Linked DNA regions of Yarrowia lipolytica. Each later gene encodes a partner of the first gene's protein in a complex. Links are inferred from orthologs where the notes say so. Each region holds a gene or a part of one and is shown in the gene's direction. Other genes may lie near its edges. The genes, in order: YALI1_D26730g, YALI1_C25758g, YALI1_F04259g and YALI1_B04470g.

The links.
Region 2: YALI1_D26730g (region 1) and YALI1_C25758g share a complex: the UniProt entries of both Saccharomyces cerevisiae proteins name them as parts of the PAM complex. The link is inferred for Yarrowia lipolytica from reciprocal best matches to the Saccharomyces cerevisiae genes TIM44 and MGE1.
Region 3: YALI1_D26730g (region 1) and YALI1_F04259g share a complex: the UniProt entries of both Saccharomyces cerevisiae proteins name them as parts of the PAM complex. The link is inferred for Yarrowia lipolytica from reciprocal best matches to the Saccharomyces cerevisiae genes TIM44 and PAM16.
Region 4: YALI1_D26730g (region 1) and YALI1_B04470g share a complex: the UniProt entries of both Saccharomyces cerevisiae proteins name them as parts of the PAM complex. The link is inferred for Yarrowia lipolytica from reciprocal best matches to the Saccharomyces cerevisiae genes TIM44 and PAM17.

Annotation. Positions count from the first base shown.
Region 1 is NC_090773.1:2,670,859-2,676,132, forward strand, and holds YALI1_D26730g (uncharacterized protein), read left to right. Parts: upstream 1-2,118; coding exon 2,119-3,537; downstream 3,538-5,274. Other genes in the region: YALI1_D26721g (uncharacterized protein), read right to left, coding at 1-1,237; YALI1_D26749g (uncharacterized protein), read left to right, coding at 4,036-4,190, 4,237-4,357; YALI1_D26759g (uncharacterized protein), read right to left, coding at 4,359-5,072. UniProt on the Saccharomyces cerevisiae protein: Essential component of the PAM complex, a complex required for the translocation of transit peptide-containing proteins from the inner membrane into the mitochondrial matrix in an ATP-dependent manner.
Region 2 is NC_090772.1:2,573,322-2,577,974, forward strand, and holds YALI1_C25758g (uncharacterized protein), read left to right. Parts: upstream 1-2,561; coding exon 2,562-3,308; downstream 3,309-4,653. Other genes in the region: YALI1_C25703g (uncharacterized protein), read left to right, coding at 1-175; YALI1_C25742g (uncharacterized protein), read right to left, coding at 724-899, 944-1,043; YALI1_C25747g (uncharacterized protein), read right to left, coding at 1,132-1,396, 1,443-1,552; YALI1_C25782g (uncharacterized protein), read right to left, coding at 3,583-4,653. UniProt on the Saccharomyces cerevisiae protein: Essential component of the PAM complex, a complex required for the translocation of transit peptide-containing proteins from the inner membrane into the mitochondrial matrix in an ATP-dependent manner.
Region 3 is NC_090775.1:423,767-428,175, reverse strand, and holds YALI1_F04259g (uncharacterized protein), read left to right. Parts: upstream 1-2,216; coding exon 2,217-2,660; downstream 2,661-4,409. Other genes in the region: YALI1_F04264g (uncharacterized protein), read right to left, coding at 1-1,753; YALI1_F04238g (uncharacterized protein), read right to left, coding at 3,572-4,330. UniProt on the Saccharomyces cerevisiae protein: Essential component of the PAM complex, a complex required for the translocation of transit peptide-containing proteins from the inner membrane into the mitochondrial matrix in an ATP-dependent manner.
Region 4 is NC_090771.1:444,042-448,891, forward strand, and holds YALI1_B04470g (uncharacterized protein), read left to right. Parts: upstream 1-3,017; coding exon 3,018-3,620; downstream 3,621-4,850. Other genes in the region: YALI1_B04433g (uncharacterized protein), read left to right, coding at 93-1,128; YALI1_B04466g (uncharacterized protein), read right to left, coding at 2,207-2,629; YALI1_B04497g (uncharacterized protein), read right to left, coding at 4,003-4,850. UniProt on the Saccharomyces cerevisiae protein: Component of the PAM complex, a complex required for the translocation of transit peptide-containing proteins from the inner membrane into the mitochondrial matrix in an ATP-dependent manner.

The DNA of each region.
Region 1 (5,274 bases):
CCAAAGTCTCGAAAAACGAACCGTCACTGAGAATGTTTCCTGCCGAGAGACCCTCAAAAATCAACACCTGAAAAGACTCATTGTACTTGACGGGTTGAATGTCGTCGAGATGAATGGTGATAGCTTTGTCTGTCATAATAGGACACGGCCTGATGCTCACCTTCATAGCCTTTTTGAGGTAATAGGTGACATCCATAACTAGTCGATTCTCGTCCTCCCCACCAGTAGAGATCCCTTCTGCCTCCATCCTCAAATCCGTGTACTCCTGATTCCACGTATGTCCGTCCAAGTAGACTTCCAGCACCTGAAACGAGGCAGGTGGGGGTTTCGTCTCCTCCTTCGGTCTTTGAGCCAAGAAGTCTCCAAGAGGAGCAGGTTTAAGCAAGGTGTAGTCTCTTCTCTTACCCTTTTTCTTCTTTTCGCTCATATGCTTCCTGTCCTTCTCTAGAGCCTTTTCTTGTTTGGTCTTCATGGGCCGATCATCGTCATCTGAGGAAGATGATACAGAATGGGTGTCTAAGTTGGAAAGCGAGTGGTCATTGGGTTTGTGTTTCGATGCCGGTTGTGGCGATGGCGGAACATGTTCGCTAGTCTTCTTCTCGGGAACGTCGGGGTTGGTCTTATTATTCGGGAACAGATCCTCGTCGTCGGTGGTATCGTTCAATTCTTTGATGGTAGGCTTGGATACACTGCCTTTAACAAACTTCTTCAACAACGGATGCGAGAGACGAGAAGAGGTTAAATCTGAAGGGATTCCGATCGACGGAGTCTTCTTGAGAGTCGAATACGGCCGCGCCACGATACGCTTCGAGTCTCCTCCGATCTCCACCACTCCCGGCTGCTCGGGGTTGGTTTTGTGGCGCTTACTGACGGCCGAAAGATACTTGTTATTGCTCACGAACCCCTTGACCTTGGGGCGATTGCGAATATCGTTGTGAGGCGGTCGTTCGTTTTCTGGGGACGCTCTCTTGCGTTGGCCATAGGTGTGTTGGAGGCCTGACCTGGAGCTCCCGCTTTGAACCGGTCTCTGGGCGATGGAAAAGCGCTCGTGTAAAGACGCGAGCGACGACGGACGGGTGTTTGGCGCTCGGATTTGCACCGAAGCAGGCACCTGTTGTTGCTGGTGTAGTGATGGAGACGGGCTGTCTCTCCTGGCGTTTGCCGGAGTGCCTGTCAGAATGGCGTTGATTTGGTTGATATGACGATTAGCACCTTGGCGGCCACCGCTGGACTCCATTTGCAAAGCTGGATATCGGCCTAGAGCTCCTGACTATGCCGTTGTTTGGGTCTATGGTGGTCCGCTTAAAAAAAATATGCATGCACATGTCGCGATGGGTCGGGGATTATGTAAGCGCAGGGAAATGAAGGGCACCAGTGAGGTGTGGCAGAGGGGGAAACAGGCAGGTGGGCGATGAGAGGAATGCGATAGAGAGAACAGATGGTTGGAATCCGAGTCTTGTGATTCCAGTGGCAAAAAAACGCATCTCTCCATAGCTCAGTGTGATTACTTGGGCCTTTCAAGTAAAGTTGTGTTTTTTCCAAGTAAATACTCTTTCTTTCAAGTAAACCGTCACAACCTTACGATGCAGTGTATGATGCCGCCGGCAAAGTGGTTACAATCCAATCGACGCAAGAACGGACCAATTTTTTGTTGTAATGGACAGAAAACGTGACACAACCGGTTCTTTTTTATTATATTTTTTATTCTATTTATTCTAGAGAAAAAAAACCACCCAGGAAAAAACTTGTCTGTTCTCCGCTGAGATTGACGTGCGGCTCATCAATTATAAGGATGTTGGTTCGATTTGCGAGAAGCTCACTTTTATGCACATACTCAGATTTACTCATGTGTATTTTTGGGTCTGAAAGTGTCGGAAATGCCCCCCAGAGCAACACAGACTCTCATACTTGTGTCCACTGTCCGGGATCTGGCCCCAAAACACACCCATTCGCTTGCCCTCACCCCTCTCAACGTCGGTTGCTTAACCCCAGACAAACCTTGGTTGAGCGTCGGTGAGTCAGCGGAGGTTTGGGAGGGTGGCTCTGGACGACGAGTTGGGGTCCGAAACGGATTTTCGGACATGTAGAGATGTAGAGAAAGATGCAGCGAGTCGAACTATGTTTTCAGATCCGCTCCATCTCCACTCCATCGGCCGCTGCAAGACCCTTTTGGCCCGTGGGTATAAACTTCTGGAAGGTCCCAAACACCCATTCTTGCAAAGTGAAATTTCGGTGCATTTTTTTACCTCTACAACTACAACTATCTACCACCACTCCACCATGCTACGAGCTCGACAGTGTCTTCAGGTGGCCAAGCCGGCTTCCACTCGATGGTTTTCGGCGTCCAGTGCGCTGGGCAAAAAAGACCAGACCCCCATGCAGGTCTTCATGGACACGTTCAAGAAGGAGTGGGGCAAGTCCAAGGAGCTCCAGGACAACATCAAGGCGCTGAACGACGAGACTGGCCGAATGGCCGAGAGTGAGACCTTCAAGCGGGCCAAGGCCGCGTATGCCAATGCGCAGAAGGGTTCATCTGCCACGTCCAAGCAGCTCAAGAAGGCCGCCGGAGCGGTTGGATCTGCTGCTGGAGCGGCGTGGAACTCGCCCGTTGGCCAGGCCACCCGAAAGGGAATCAACGTCACCGCCGACACGCTGGACAAGGCTGCCGAGCCCATTCGAAAGACTAAGGCGTACAAGGACATCAAGGACGTGATTGACGACGGATCGTCGATCCGATATGGAGGTTTCGAGGACAAGGGCAGCCGACGATCTCGACGTATGGCCGAGCAGCAGGCCCGAATCGAGGAGGAGCTGCGAACCGGCGTCAAGACCGGCCCCGTCATGCCCAACGAGGAGGCTGGCAGTGATCTGGTGGTCCATGCCACCGCCCGGGCCTCCAACCGGCGAATGCCCAAGTTTGACGAAAACTCCGTCATTGGCAAGACCGGAAAGGGCGTGGCCTCGTGGTGGGAGGAGTCCGACAACGGATTCATCGCCACCCTGCGAGCCGTGACTTCCAAGGTGGGCCGACTGTTTGACGAGACCGAGGCTGGCAAGGTGATCCGAATGTTCAAGCTCATGGACCCGTCGTTTAACCAGGACCAGTTCATGAAGACTACCCGAGAGTACATCATTCCCGAAGTGCTGGAGGCGTGGGTTACCGGCGACGGCGAGACCCTCAAAATGTGGCTCAGTGAGGCCCCCTACAACATTTGGGCCACCCAGACCAAGCAGTACACCGAGCAGGGTCTTTTCGCTGACGGCAAGATTCTTGACATTCGAGGAGTCGATATCATGTCCGCCAAGGTGCTGCCACCGTCCGACGTGCCTGTCTACGTCATCTCCTGCCGAGCTCAGGAGGTGCATCTGTACCGAAAGGCCAAGACCGGCGAGCTGGCTGCTGGAACCGAAGACAACATCCAGCAGTCCACCTACGTCATGGTGCTGACCCGAGTGCCTGAGGACATGGGCAATCCCGAGACGGGCGGATGGAAGATTTTGGAAATGGTCCGGGGAGCCTCTCGATCGTGGACTTAGAGTGTATATATGTAAATAGCGCGAGGAGGTGGCCGAGGCCCCTCATGAATGTATGTTATGATTTGAGTGTCCCCAGAGCTGGCGATGAAGTAATACATGATGCAAGGGAGCCAGTCAGCCGGAGAAGTGTTAACCTGAAGACATGTGCTACTTACACTACTCACTCAACCATGAACCAAGATAATGACAAGTGCTAGCGAGTGATAATGGCAAGTGCAATCGTAGGCTTCAGAACATCCAGTAACTGGGTTTATAGATACAAAAGAGAAACTGGTCAATACATAGACGGTTAGGACTTGTAGGTCAGTCATGGACATGTATGATGATAGTTATGGGCGTAGAGCAGTTGCCTGTAGGCAGACTGGCTTGTCCAATCGTTTAAGGGCTTTTTACTATATCTGTTACTTGAGACTGTGGAATGTGATATGTTGTTGTTGTTGTTTTGTTGTTGTTGTTGTTTGTTGTTTGTTGTTGTTGTTTTTTTGTTGTTGTTGTTAGATGTGGTATGATACTAATGTCCACACTGGTAGACAGGAGAATCAGCTCGTCGGGGACTATCCAACGGTGTTACAATCGAGACTCTCGATTCTTTCCGTAAGAACCAATTGCAGACGTCCGTCAAGTGACATTGAATTCTCGGTCCACATGCTTTCGTGAAGAGCGACAACCGAAAGTGAATCTCAGCAAAACTATCTTAAGAGGACAACCTCTCGATCTGTTCGTGACGTTGCTTTTGGATCCTGATGTCGTCATCGAGGGAGGAGTACTCAGACCGCCGTATTGCTCAGTAGTAGTCACTAGCTTTGTCAACACTCGCTAAATCAACTTTTGATCTTCTTCTTCTTCCGCTTGAACATGCTTCCTTTGCTCTCTCCTTCCTCCTTTTTAACGTCAGTGTCCTCCGTCTTCATTTCAACCTCCTCCTTTTTAACGCCATCTTCCTGCTTCAAGTCCACCTTGATACCTTTCCTATCGCTATCGCTACCCAGCTTGCGTTTTCTGTTGAGCACAAGATCATCGTCCTCCAACTGCTTCTCCTGGATCTTCCATCTTGTTGACTCCTCATCGTTCACCTTCTGAGCTCGCTTAGAAGCACTCAAAACGTACTCTGAAACCCCCTCGGAACCATCAACAACAGGCGGAGCAGCAGGAGGTATCACCTGAACACTTTCCCACACACCGGTTCCTGTGTTTGTGTCGATAACAGGCTTCTTTTCGTCCTGTTTACTCTTCTCCTCCATCTTGTCGTAGAATGTCTTTTTTGGCGCTACCGCGGGATCTTGAGACCCAGATTTCGCTTCTAGGGGTTTATCCATCCCCTCATAGCCATCCTGGGCCACCTTCTTCCTAATCTCGGCCATTTCGCGCTCAAGATCATCTTTTTTCGCGCCTTCCTCCTTGCTGGATTCATACAACCCGCGCAAATGTTGCTTCCACGCCGATTTGTGCTTGGCCGTCTCTTCGTGCACCTTGCGCTCAAACGTCGTGTCGGTCACAAATACAGCGCACACCTTGCACCAGTATCGAGGGGCCATTTGAAAGTGAAACGAGTCTTGTGGAAGTGGTGTTGTGAAGTTCCTGCCTGCAGAAAAGCTAGTAGAGTTAGTGAGAGGCCAACTGAGAGAGAGGTGGAGATATGGAACTATAATGGGTATAGATGTGGAGTACAGAGGGACAAAAACCAATTTTTCCAACATATTTCAAGACTACGAATGTACAGATGAAAAAAAATGAGCC
Region 2 (4,653 bases), on another chromosome or scaffold:
CACCGGAATTGCATTCTCGGCCATCATCATCTTCTTTGCAGTCCAATACAAGGGAGTGGAGCTCGAGTGGTGGGGAAACACTGTGTCTTACGACAACCTGGACTTTAAGGGTGCCATTCTGAAACCCCTGGCCGCTGGAGAGACCTTTGGTCCTTCGCCTGAGAACTTCCCTTAGTTTATTTTATTTAATTGATATGACCTGAACATGACTGTTAGTAGTTGTATGAGTGCATAGGGCTGACAGATGATCAGCATACTGTAAATGACACCTGGAGCAGTGACATTTCATTGGAGCTGGATCTCGAGCTGAAGAACGTGCAACTACAGACAACCAGAACGACTATCTGTTGTAGTTGTATGTTTTTGTGGTCAGATACAAATCCTCTAATCACACACACTCCAAGCTATTCGATTCAATTCGATATCTCTTGTGCCATACTGGGGCGATATGTAACCGTAGACGTCTAGCTCTTAGGTGGAGGGGTTGCAGTGCACTGAAGTGGGCGGTGAATTTTTTTCCAAACATCGGACAGTATTTGAGATGGATGCTGTTGATCGATCTCCATAAAAATTATATCATTACACTCCCCACGATCGAGAGAACAAGATAAGCCATCAACAATGCAAATCCAACAATTATTCACCCTGAAATTCTTTATCCTTTCCCGGATACATCGTCTCCGAGATGCGGCTCGCATTTGGGTCGGACAAAATATCATGTTTTCATGCGGCTGGAAAATCCAATGAGGAATACTGGAGAAGGGTTTGTCGGTTTTGGGCCAGATAACAGGGTCTGATATCAGTGCAAAAGATCCGTGTGTATCCGGAAGATGCCTTTCGACGCTCCAGATGCATGTGTTTTATTCTATCTCGTTCGGACAGGGCAATTGGCATGTCCACTTTTCAACTTGATCTGAGGAGACTGTTCACTGTGGAGGGAAACAGTGCCCTGATGAGTTAACTACCAGTGAATCCCTCTCTGCAAATGTCATCTGTCTTATCAGTGCTTGTGTCACCGCAAACATTAGTCTGTGCTGAAACATCGGTACTCGTCAGTACTCGCTCTCGTAGTACTCGCTCTCGTCAATACGGGTACCGTACTCGCACTTGTATCATAAGTACAAGTATGTACTATCTTCCGATCGCTCCATTTTTGCGGGGAAGATAGCTACCCCAAATCTCCGTGCATTCCTTTTCCTGTATTCGATATCTGGCCAGGATCGGGATTGGCCGCGAAGAGCCATGCAGTGCCGGAAGACTATGTACCAGTTGCAGACTAGCGAGACATGACTTTGCTACCACAACCCCTTGAAGTAGATAGTCTTCCCTGTGAGAGACCTTTCCTGAGAGAATGGTTTGAGTCGTTCTTTCACAGCCTTGATGTGACGTTCTGCCGCTCCGTCAGCTTCGGGATGGCCCACATTTGCTATTCGAAATGACACTCTCGGCCATTTCTGGAACCAACTGTTCTGAAACAGTGGGTCTTGGTCGGACACAATGCTGATCTGTTGATTGTCATTGATCCTGTCCCCGCGATGCACATCGTTGTCATGTTTTCGCTTGTGCGGTTGTGGAGCAGGGTGGGTACATCCTTCTTTCACCCAGACAACAGGTTATTCACTGATCAGTATGATGCGATGATAACACTCTTTTTCAGATAGCTTCGAGTGTTGCAATTGAAGTTCCGTCCTTGTCTATCTCAGGGACTGACCAGAGCTATGACGGTACACTTCAATTACGGCAATGGCGGCAACTATGAACCTCACAATCATAATTGGCGAGATGGTACGTGAGTCTCAACTAACACACTTATCATCAACACCACTAGACTACACATCGCCATCCAACGACAAATACGCAAAGCTCAAAAATCCAACCAATCAAACAGTCGCCGATTGCAACGCCAAACATAGCGTGGTTTCACAACTTTTTCCCACCACCCCCGCGGAAGATTTCGCGTGTCTAGCCGCACTCTGTTTTACAGCTTTTGGCATGACCATGCATGATCTCATCACCATCTCATCTGGAGCATGTGGTGTAGAGGGCGGCTATGGACGATATAGTCGCATATTTTGCATATTTTGGATCCAGACAGAGACAATTGCGGGCATTAGTCACTCGCACGCTGACTAACCCATCGATTCAGGCCACACGAATGTGACGCCTTTCCCCAGCGGTGGCAATTGTTCCGCCCCTTTCTCCGGGTTGGTCACGTGGTCTGCGGTGCAAGTCTAAGTGAGGGGGGGGGGGAAATGAAGGAGAAATTGGTCATGGGTCTCGGTAGTAGTCAATTCACGTGCTTTCGCGGCCTAAGACATATGCCTGAGACAGGGCAACCCATTGTTGCTGGTTCGCACGCCTTGCTTAACTTATGACGCCTGACCTTGAGCCAACCGCTGTCAGATGGATTCTCCCAACTCCTACTCCAACCTTCGCTAAGCTTCCACTTCAAGGGCAACTGTGGGTTCAAAGTTAATTTTGGGGAATTGAATTTTCCATTCTTCGAGACTAACAACACCTCTTCATCCTCCCCCAAACACCGCCCGAAATACACACACAAAATGATCTCTCGAATTGCCCGTGTCCAGCGGTCGGCCGCCGTCCGATCCACCGTCCGATCCGCCATGCGACCCGCCACCGTGGCCCCCATGGCCTCCTTCAACCTCCGATCCCGATTTTACTCCGACAAGGCTGAAACCAAGGCTGAGGACCCTGAGGCCGCTGCTGAGGCTGCTGGTCCCGCGGCCAACGCCGCCGACGCCTCCGCTTCTGGTGCGTCCGCTGCCGAGACCAAGACCGCCCCCACCGCCGAGGAGTACGAGGCTCTGCTGGCCAAGTTCGAGAAGAAGGACAAGGAGTGCGCCCAGTTCAAGGAGCACTACCAGCGAGCCATCACCGACTTCCGACACCTGCAGGAGACCACCAAGCGAGAAATCAAGAAGGCACACGACTTTGCCCTGGCCAAGTTCGCCAAAGACCTGCTGGACTCGGTCGACAACTTTGATCGAGCCCTGGGCGTTGTCCCCGACGAGATCAAGAACGACCGAGAGAACAACAAGGAGATCATGAACTTCTACGACGGCATCAAGATGACCCAGGATATCTTCGAGAAGACTCTGGGTAAGCACGGCATGAAGAAGCTCGAGCCCGTCGGCGAGGTCTTCGACCCCAACATGCATGAGGCCGTCTTCGAGGCCCCCCAGCCCGACAAGGAGGCCGGCACCGTCTTCTTTGTCCAGCAGACCGGCTTCACTCTTAACGACCGAATTCTGCGAGCCGCCAAGGTCGGAGTTGTTAAGGGCGAGTAATTCCACCACAAATTATCCAATATGTATATAGTAATGAGTAATGTTTCAGAAAATGTCACCTGTAGATAAAATCAATACCCAAAAAGGTGATCGGATGATGAGTTGTACTAAAGATTCAGATTCTAAGGACTCAATGGCCTTATTCAACATCAATTGTTCATACATGCTCGCAAAACGTGATAAAACATGGATCGTTTACTATTTACATATACATTTACAAGCACTTGTACTTGTACTTGTACTTGTGCGTGACACTGTTCGGCACACTATCGTACTATCTCAGCTTAACGCCGTATCGGTCAACAAGCATCTCCTTGAAAGCGTCGAGCATCTGGTTGATTTCCTGGTTCTCGAGATTTCGCTCCATGGACTGGAAATTGATTCGGTAGCACTGCGAGGTCAGACCGGTCTTGGGGTTGGTGAAGGTATCGGTGAGAGCCACGTTCTCGACCAGATCGCCGGCGGTGGCTCGGATTAGCTCCATGATGTCGTTCTCGTGGATGGAGTCCAGAGCAGCGCCCTCGGGCAGCCAGAAGGCCACATCTCGGTCGGTGCCGGGGTACTTGGACCAGGATTTGAAAGCGGTGATCTCGTTAGGCTTGAACTGCGACAGGAATCGCTGGTCAAGAGACCAGAAGAGTCGAATATCGGGGATACCGAACAGAATCATGGCCAGGCGCTCCAGACCAAGACCAAAGGCCCAGCCGAAATGGGTGTGCTTGTCAAGACCTGAGGCCGAGTACACGTGATCACGAACAAGACCACATCCGCAGCACTCGAGCCAGTCACCCTTCCACCACACCTCAATCTCCCATGAAGGAGTGGTCCAGGGGAAAGTAGTCTCGACCCATCGAACCTTGAGGGGCTTCTCGAGATCGGGATCAGTAGACCCAGCAACCTTAGCAGCTACCTTGGCACGCTCGAAAATATCTCCAACAAGCAGCTCAATGGACTTCTTGAGATGGGCAGCGACAAGCTCGGTTTCGGTATCAGACATGTAGGGGGACTTGGGGTTCTCGGGGTGCGAAACCTGGTCGACGTCCTCGACAATGAGGTTGGTAGCGGGGATTGCGGCCACGTCAGCTCGGAGCTTCTCAATCAGAGCCTCCTCGGAGGGGTAGTCTTCTCGCTTCCAGGTTCGAGCTCCCTCCATCTGATGGAACGCAGGGTAATGAGTTCGGTCAATGGTGTCTCGACGGTAAACGTCGGCAGTGACGAAGAAACCGGGCGTCTTGGTGTGCTGGAAACAGTGGACCTCATGGGCACTAGTGTGAGTTCGAAGAAGGGTGTCGTGGTTGATATAGTAGGTGTCAGTCTTGGCTCGTCCCGGATGGTCCTCGGGGAA
Region 3 (4,409 bases), on another chromosome or scaffold:
TCATAGTGAGACGTTTGAAAGACGTTGTAACGACCGGCGAGGGCGGAGCAGGCTCTGGGCAAGCAGATCGAACTTGATACATTCGGTAAAGGTTGGTTTTAAACGGGATGGTTCTTGGCTGGATGGGATCCTCTTCTGAAGTAGCGGCGCTTCGTTCATCTTGAAACTCGAGTTTGATGGATGATGACTCTCCAGATCGTAGTCGTTTGTCAATGGGTACGGTCTGGGTCTCTTTAGAGATCTGATCATCTCGCTCAGGAGCTTCTTTTCGTTTCAGTGATGGCGAAAGGAACGGTGACTTGGGAGTTCTGGGCACAGACACCGGCTCCTGTACTCTTTCGTAGTAAGGCGGGTCCACGTATGCAAACGCCTCAATGTAATCCAGAGCAATGGTGCGATGCTCGTCGTCCAACTTATCGAGATAGTCCATGCAAGTGGGAGGCACAGGAGACGGGAACTGAATGCCTCCGTAACCTCCATAACCTTTGTACGACGAGCCAATTCCAAAACCCACACTGAGCTCCTGAGAGCCAGGAAGGAGCTCCGGGTTGGGTGATGCTGATGACGACTTGCCCGAATCTTCGTACGAAGAGCCTCCCTCGCCATTCGTCTCTTTAAGAAGGTTAAGAGCTCTTGTTTTCGAGCCTCGCACAGATCGGGGGTTTGCAGACACGCATTTCTTCATTTTCTGCAAAATGCACTGAGAATTTGTGGGGTCGGAGCACTCTGTTCGTTGCAGAATTGTCTCTACCATGTTGCCCAGGCACAGTTTCTCTTGGGGGGTGAGCTGGTCGATTTCAGTGCCATGAAGCATCTTTTGCACGGGGTGATGAGTGTCCCATTCCCATGCGAGTGTCAACTCCGTACCTGGCTTGATTGGTTCAGTTGCAAACACGACAAAAATGATATCGGTGTTGTTAACCACGACAGTCGCCACTCTGCAGTTTGGATTGCACGAACGGCGCATGAACCGCGCATCATTGCCTACAAGACGACCATCTATCACTAGAGGAAGCGTTGGATGGAACAAGACTGACGATTTGGGCACTGGATGGATGCGATACTGGTTGATTGGGTCTGCCTTGTACTGGTCCTTATGTGAAACATGACCCACGTACTCGATGATGAAGCGGTCTTTCTGAATAGGCTGATTGGCCACAAGTCCATGCTTAGAAAAGCCACAGAACTTGGACTTTGGATTGTCTTGGAACAGCTTTAAGGTCATCTTAGGCTTGACAATCTTTGAATACTCCGATAGAGACATGTAACTGATGTCCTTGTCAATAATTTCCTCATTGGCCAACTTGGCAAGATAATCCTTGACTTCCGGGTCCACGGTATTTCTGGGGATCACAGTGTAATCGAAATGGTAGTCGTTTTCCTCATTGTTGGGCTGTTCCGTTGATTCTCTAGAGGGGGCCACTGGAGGAGTCTGCGTGGCCTGGGTAGTTGCAGACGCGTCACCATTTGACTGGCCCTCCTTCTCTTCCGATTCTTTCCTTCGTTTCTTTTCCTGCATCTGTTTGATAGTCTCCAGGCGAGTCTTTTGTTTCTCATGGGCAGCTTTGACATCCAGTTCTCGAGGTCCACACTGGTCACAGAGATACACGTCTGGAACCTCCGCCTCGGAGCCGATTCCCACACACACGGCGTGTTGCCACACGTTACAGGATTCGCACTGGATGGTGAAACCGTCGTCCTCGTCAAACCCGCATATGCATTTGATGATACCCGCGTCCACAGCGTATTTCATAGTGGAGGGGAGTGATTAGTCAGCGACAAACGGATGGGTATTGTTGTAGATTCGAACTGTGTCGTTTAATATCGTATATGTGTTGTACTGTTTGCGGGATGCTCGTTGTTTGTTCACCTTGGATGAGTGTGTGTCTGGTGGTGATGAAGTTTGGAGGTTTAGGCTGAGTGCATGTGCAGCAGAGTGTATGACAAGCTAAGACAAGGGGTAGGATTAAAAGACCGATTGGGGTGGTAAAGTAAAGTCGTAAAGTGGAAAAAATAAGAGTGTAAAGAGTTGATTAACGCGAAAAATCCCATCACATTTTCATACCGAAACTCCTTCATCTAGTCCATCCGCACGACTACAAGTCTTGCGACTTACTTTTAGAGTTCCCAACCTCGAACCTCCCAAAACAATAAACTCTGGCAAAAACCTGAAATCTTTTCTCCACACCGCTAAGAACCACCACACACATTTCACCATGGCCCACAGACTCATCTATCAAGTTGTCGTGACCGGCACCCAGGTTTTCGCCAAGGCTTTCACCCAGGCCTACAAGCAGGCTGCTACCGCCCAGGCCGCCTCCAAGACCTCCAAGTCGGCAGCATCCAAGTTTGGAGGACTCCAGCTGGACGAGGCCTGTAAGATTCTCGACGTGGACGAGACCGCCCTCGACAAGGTGGTTGCCGAGCTCAACAAGAAACACAAGCTGGAGGACATTGCAGAGTCCGAGTCAGTGCTGGCTCAAATCGACAAGAAGTTCACTCATCTGTACACTGTCAACTCGGAGCACAAGTCGGGCTCCTTCTACCTGCAATCCAAGGTGTACCGAGCCATGGAGCGAATCCGGGGCGAGCTGGAGCTGGACCCGCTGCCCAAGCCCGAGATCGAGGAACCCAAGAAGAAGGAAGAGGAGAAAAAATAATGAGAGAGATAGGGACAGATCGGCACAAACTCGGTGTGAGTAAAAGTGTTTTGTAAATAGCATAACGAGATGATGATACGGAACCGTAACCGGATAGAATGAAAGTAAATCAGGAGCGGACTCTTTGGTGAACTACGCAGTGGTGACATAGGAAGAAACCGAGCAGTAATGGGGAACCAAGCAGTCTATGCAGTTCAGCACATACCATAGCTATACATTTGAAAGGGCCGATCGAAGGAGAGTACAAAAACAAGTAGACTATACTCGTATATAGGCCCCTGGTGTGCTCATTATTCTGTGGCACGTTGCTGCTTATTTTCTCTCGATAGTTCTGTCCTATCAGGTGCTACATACTGTACTGTAAGGAAGCTACTGTACGCCAGAAGAGACGAAACAGTACGATACTTGCAGCAGGTTAAGATACGGATGATCCCGTCCTTTCAATTTCAACACTTTATGGAGGCTGCTTCTACTTAGAAACAGATACTACTGTGTGCTTTCCTTGTTAGGGGGTAACAGATCTCCTACCATGTACGAGTGGTCAGAGCTCTTATACTGATGTTTCGCGGAGAGTATCCAAGTTCGAAGAGCTCCTTTAAGATCCCAGTATCTGACTACTTGTAGCTTCCTAGCTTTTATAAGGGGGCCACTATGAGTGTACTTGAACTGTAGTTGCATATGGCACTGTACGAGAAATATACATAACCTGGTTATCATTATGATAGATGTGTATGACTAAAGACCAATAGGTTTTCTTGATATTATTGATTGAAATATGCACGGTAGTCATTAGTTACCAGTCTTTCATAGTCAGCTCTCTAAAAACGGCTGTAGCGTTGGTGTTTTCTCGTGTTATCTTTTCTTCTTTCTTTCAGACGCTCTTCAGCAATCACATCCTGGAGAAACCGTCTTTAGACCAACCGTCTCACGGTCAAATCATAGATAATCTCCTCCACCTTCTTCACATCATATTTGATAGAATCATAACTTCTTCGCAGTTTATCATTCTTCAGATTCAGCACCATGAGGCCAGCATGAGTGTTCTTAATGAATGCAAGAAGGTACTGAGGGAACACAAATGGCAACTTGGTGTCGTGGCTCTCGTTATACGAGGCAATGGCCGTAACGGAGTTGAATGCAAGTCGAGAAAGCTCGTTGATCATGGTCACGATACCCAGCAGGTAGTCGTAGTCGGTCAGATGGCACGTGTTTTCATTTCCAGCCTCCAGCTCGGTCAAAAACGGCACTCCAAGCTGCTTGGACACTAGATCAGGTCCTAGGGGGGTGGCGGCCACCAGTGACTGCCAATTGGAGGGGTTGGAGACCACAATAGCCATGTCAGTGTCCACCCAGTTGGCCAGAAAGTGTCGTAGCAGAGTCACAAACACAGCCCGCTGGAAACAGCCGCCGTACATGTTGTTGTATCTGTAAAACTGCCATTGAGACGCGGTAGTCGCCAGCTCCTGACACTTTTCTGCAATCTCTGCGTAGATGGGGTCTTCAAGCAGAGGCTGGAGATAAAACTTGGTGGGGGCCACAGTGTGAGCTCGTCCTACTACAATCTGAGCCTTCTTGAGCGTCAGATCTAGCTTGTCGATCTCTTCGTTCAGCCGGGTGACGTTCTGCGAGTTCTGGTCGTTGAGCTTTTGCACTTCACTGAGCCAGTCCATGGTGATATGTTGAGTTTGAAAGGATCGATCCAAACTTTTAGATAATACTTCCAGATATCATGCAGTGAAAAATAAAGTG
Region 4 (4,850 bases), on another chromosome or scaffold:
GTTATATGTCATCTGTCAGTCATTCAGCGCATTCGGCGTTGCCCCGTTTGTGACCTTTGGCCACTCACCTCCGCTTACCATACTAACATCAGGGGAACCACCGTCGCCAAGATTGTCGCCGAGAACTGCACTGCTCACCCCGAGCTCTTTGAGCCCGAGGTTCGAGTCTGGGTTCGAGAAGAGAAGGTCAACGGCAAGAACCTGACCGACATTTTCAACGCTGAGCACGAGAACGTGCGATACCTCCCTAAAATCAAACTTCCTCACAACCTGATCGCCGAGCCGGATCTGCTCAAGGCCGTCGAGGGTGCCAACATCATCGTCTTCAACCTGCCCCATCAGTTCCTGGCTGGTGTCTGCAAGCAGCTCAAGGGCCACGTCAACCCCAAGGCTAGAGCCATCTCCTGCCTCAAGGGTCTAGATGTCACCCCCCAGGGTGTTTACCTGCTCTCCGACGTTATCGAGAACGAGACCGGTCTCCACTGCGGTGTTCTGTCCGGGGCTAACCTCGCCACCGAGATCGCTCTGGAGAAGTACTCCGAGACTACCGTTGCTTACAACCGACCCAAGGACTTCTTTGGCGAGGGTGATGTGACCAACGATGTGCTCAAGGCTCTGTTCCACCGACCCTACTTCCATGTGCGATGCGTTCAGGACGTCGCCGGTGTCTCCATCGGAGGTGCCCTTAAGAACGTTGTTGCCCTTTGCGCCGGTTTCGTCGAGGGCAAGAACTGGGGAGACAACGCCAAGGCCGCAATTATGCGACGAGGCATGCTTGAGATGATCAACTTCTCCAAGCGATTCTTCCCCGAAACTGATATTAACACTCTTACAGTCGAGTCTGCCGGTGTGGCCGATCTCATCACCTCGTGCGCTGGAGGCCGAAACTTCAAGGTCGGCCGAGCATTCGGAAAGGAGAGCGGCTCCGGCAAGACCATCCAGGACGTGGAGAAGGAGCTTCTCAACGGCCAGTCCGCCCAGGGCGTCATCACATGCAACGAGGTCCACGAGCTGCTCAAGAACAAGAACATGCAGAAGGACTTCCCTCTGTTCGAGTCCACCTGGGGCATTATCCACGGTGAGCTCAAGATTGATGATCTCCCCGAGATTCTTTACCACGCCAACTAGATAGATAGACTGTATTTTATTGCATATGAAAAAGAAGGAAAAGTCTGCGAGCGTAGCGGATGTAGATGTATCGTGATATCACGAAATTTCAGGTTATGTTCTTCTTGTTATGTGATGCTGTACACCTTATTTCATTTTACTTAGGAATGATAACTAACATGGCTGTTTCTTAGACATGTCAACTACTCAGCCCAGCAAGCCCACCATTCAGACATACCACACACATCCACAGAAGCAATTGCATGCCCCATCCACATGAAACATTGCTATCCCCAATATCCCCTCATATCTGTTGAGTCCCAAATACTCAATGCTCCCTTAGGCCGGTTGAGTGGGGCATCAACAGCCGCTCGCCCCGCACTCATACTATATGTACGGTAAAGGAGCACATGGCCCCACAATACGGGTATGTTTAGGAGGGAAATGGCATATTGGGGAGGATTATTATATTACTTGATATGAAAACCAACGGTGACTGCGATCACACGGCTGGAAAGAACTGCAATATGGCTCGATAAGATAGCAATCTATCTTTTTGAAGAGTCGTTCGCCTTACTGTAGTGGCGATTTAGGGTGGTCCTTGTTTGAAAGACTTGTGTCTCTGCTGTACAAGTAAAAGTACAGTATCTGTACTGCAGCTACAGTAGCTGTCTAGAGCCCACACCGAATGGATTTCAGTGTCAGTGACAAGTATACAGTATGCACACAACTCCATAGTGCGACAGTTGAGCGTTTAATTGAAAGCAAATTGGGAATATTGAACAACAAATACCCCCACTGTATGTACACTCCCCCACTGTATGCAAGATTGCACACATTGCCTCGTATCTTAACTCGTATTGGTGCATCTGACCTTATAGTCATACCCATCAGACTACAGGATAGCCTTCGTACGAGGCATCAACTTGGCCTCCTATCCATGAACTATAGAAAAAACATCACGCCTCCGTCTTGTCCACTTGTCCACTTGTCCACTTGTCCACACGGTCCATAAAGATTATAATGCAATAACTATACTTGTACCTCCTTTTATGTTCACATCCCTTCCATTGTCTTTTCAACATACCGCACTGGTCTGTTACATGTGCATCTTCTTGTCCTTGGGCTGAGCAGGCTCGTTCTGGGGAATCTGGGTCTTCAGGAACGCCTGAAGCGACGCAAACGGACTGGCCTGATACTCCTTGGAGTTGAGGATCTTGTTGAACCGCTTGGTCTCGGCCTTGATGATGGCCTCGTTACCTCGAGCATTCCGGGGATTAGGGGTATGATCCAGCTTTTCTCGTGTTCGGCCTCCGTTCTCGGCCTTGAGAGGGTCCAGAAGATCGTCGAGGTTGGCTGCAAGCGTCTCGGTCTCTCGAATTCGCTGACGTCGAGCTTCCTGTCTCTGTTGTCGCTTGATTTCCTTAGCCGTGGCACCATCAGCCATGATGGCATCAATGTCAGCAGGTGGCAAAGGAGTGCCCTTGTTCACCGAAGTCACCCCCTGGGAAACAGGTCGCATGGCAGCCTCGTTTTTCAGAGGGTTTCCGTAGTCGAACGGTCGATCATGAATGGGCTTCTTTCGTTTCAAATCAGCCTTGCTGATGCCTCCTCGCTTGGACAGCTTTGTGTGGTGTCGTTCTCGCTTGGCAGCAGCCTTGTCCTTCTTGGTGGCCTTGGCCTTGTATAGGAACTGTGTGTTTCCCTCGTTCTGTGTTAGATGGAGCTGTACAGCGTCTGGATGTCGTCTCTACTCACCATTCCGTTAGTTGTGTGCTTTGATTTTACCCAGTATCAATTTCGCCCCATGCAAATATCGAATCTTTTCAAATAAGATTTACCAGTACCTCCCACCTGCACTGGGTTACCCGGAGTACATGTACAGCAAATGACCCAATGTTAGTGGAACCATGGTATTAAAAGAACTCCACTCTACTACACAACACATACACACAATGTCCCTTCAGATGCTGAGAAGCCGGGTTGCACTTGCCCGACCTACCCTCGTGCGACCCTCAGTTGGTCAGATGACCAAGCGATTCGCCGGAACCGCCCCCGTTCCCCTCACTTGGGAGCGATTCCTGCTTCTGCGAACCCGAAGACGACAGATCAACTTTGTGGCCTCCATTTTCACCGGTGTGGCCACCTCTGTTCTTGCATGGGGTTTCATTTCCGAGGCCGAGCTGGATCTCGAGCAGCAGGACGTCTTCTTCGGTCTGGATGCCTTCACCGCGGCTGGATTGGGTGTGGTGGCAGCTGGATTTATGGGCTCTCTCCTGGGCCCCACCATCGGCCAGCTCATCTTCAAGGCCACCAACTCCAAGCAGTGGCCCGCCTTCCTCATGAAGGAGACCGACTTCCTGTCGCACATCCAGAAAAACCGAGTGAACCCTCGATACCAGTCCGTCTCCAACCCCGTGCCCGACTACTACGGCGAGAAGATCGGCTCTCTCAAGGACTACCGACGATGGCTGCGTGACTGCGCCAAGTACAACCGTGCCCGAGAGGTCTAAATGTATATAGTAAACAATGATCTGAAATGGAGTGTAGTATGTACACATGGAGCGTGCATGGAGGGCAATATGAGAGCAATTGCTGGACTATGCCATTATAGTGGCAATTGAGTATGAAACGAAGAGATAGGTGCAATAGAACAAATGTGTTGTAATGGCCATGTACTGAAAGCACCCAAGTTCCTCAAATCACCCAAGTTCCTCCACATGTCTCGAATCAGAAGTCAATCTAACATCGGAAGTCAATCTAAGAAGTCAATCTATGACCACAAATAGATAACAAGTACAGCCCCAATGGCAAGACTACTGTACATACTTGTAGTATACGCGTGTTAATCTATATTTCCAAGTTGTACATGCTATGACTGTGTGTTAAACTCACTCACTTGCTCTCAAGCAAATAATCCAACATGCCAACTATATCCTTGTTGTTCTTCATCATCTCCTGATACTCATTGCTATCATCATCCCAGCCAAGGTACCGAGCCTTGTTATCTCTCTCCTGCTTGAGCACCTCTTTGTCCACCTCAATATCCTGACCCTCTACTTTCATCCATGCAAATATCGTGTCCAGAACCACCACCAGCCTGCTTCCTAGCATCTCCATGTCAGTCACGATCTCCTCAGTGTCCTCCTCATTGGCCAATGCACTCTCCAGTGCGGGAATCATGGTATCTACAGCCTGTTGTGTGTCATCTCTGAGCTCCTTAAGCTCATCCAACTTAGCCTTGTCCATCTTGGCTATCACTCTGACTCGTTCAGGCGAATCCGAAGGCAAAAGACGCAGCAGAGAAGCATATATGGCCCACAGAAACTCCCCATATTCACTATAGGTCTTGTAATGCTTGTTCTTGCCTGCCTTGAGAGCCTTGAACAAAACACCCAAACCCTTGGCTTGCACAAACACTGTAGCCAACTCCGTGGAATCATAAGAGTTCAGAGCAGCCTTGATAATACGAGCAGCATGCTTCTTGATCCACTTGCCCTCTCCTCCCATGAGCCTCACCATGGCATCCACACCCTCAACTTCAGCGAAAGCTGCTCGTCCGGAAGGACTGGTGAGAATATATGCGAGGATACCAGCTATCGATCCAGCCAGTTCCTCCTCGTCCCCCTTGGTGGGATCTTTATCAACGTAGGCCATCAGGTATTTGATAAGTGCTTCCACTCGTTCAGCAGACACTCCGGTTCGATACTCGTACTTGGTGAGCCAAGTAAGACAGTAATCAG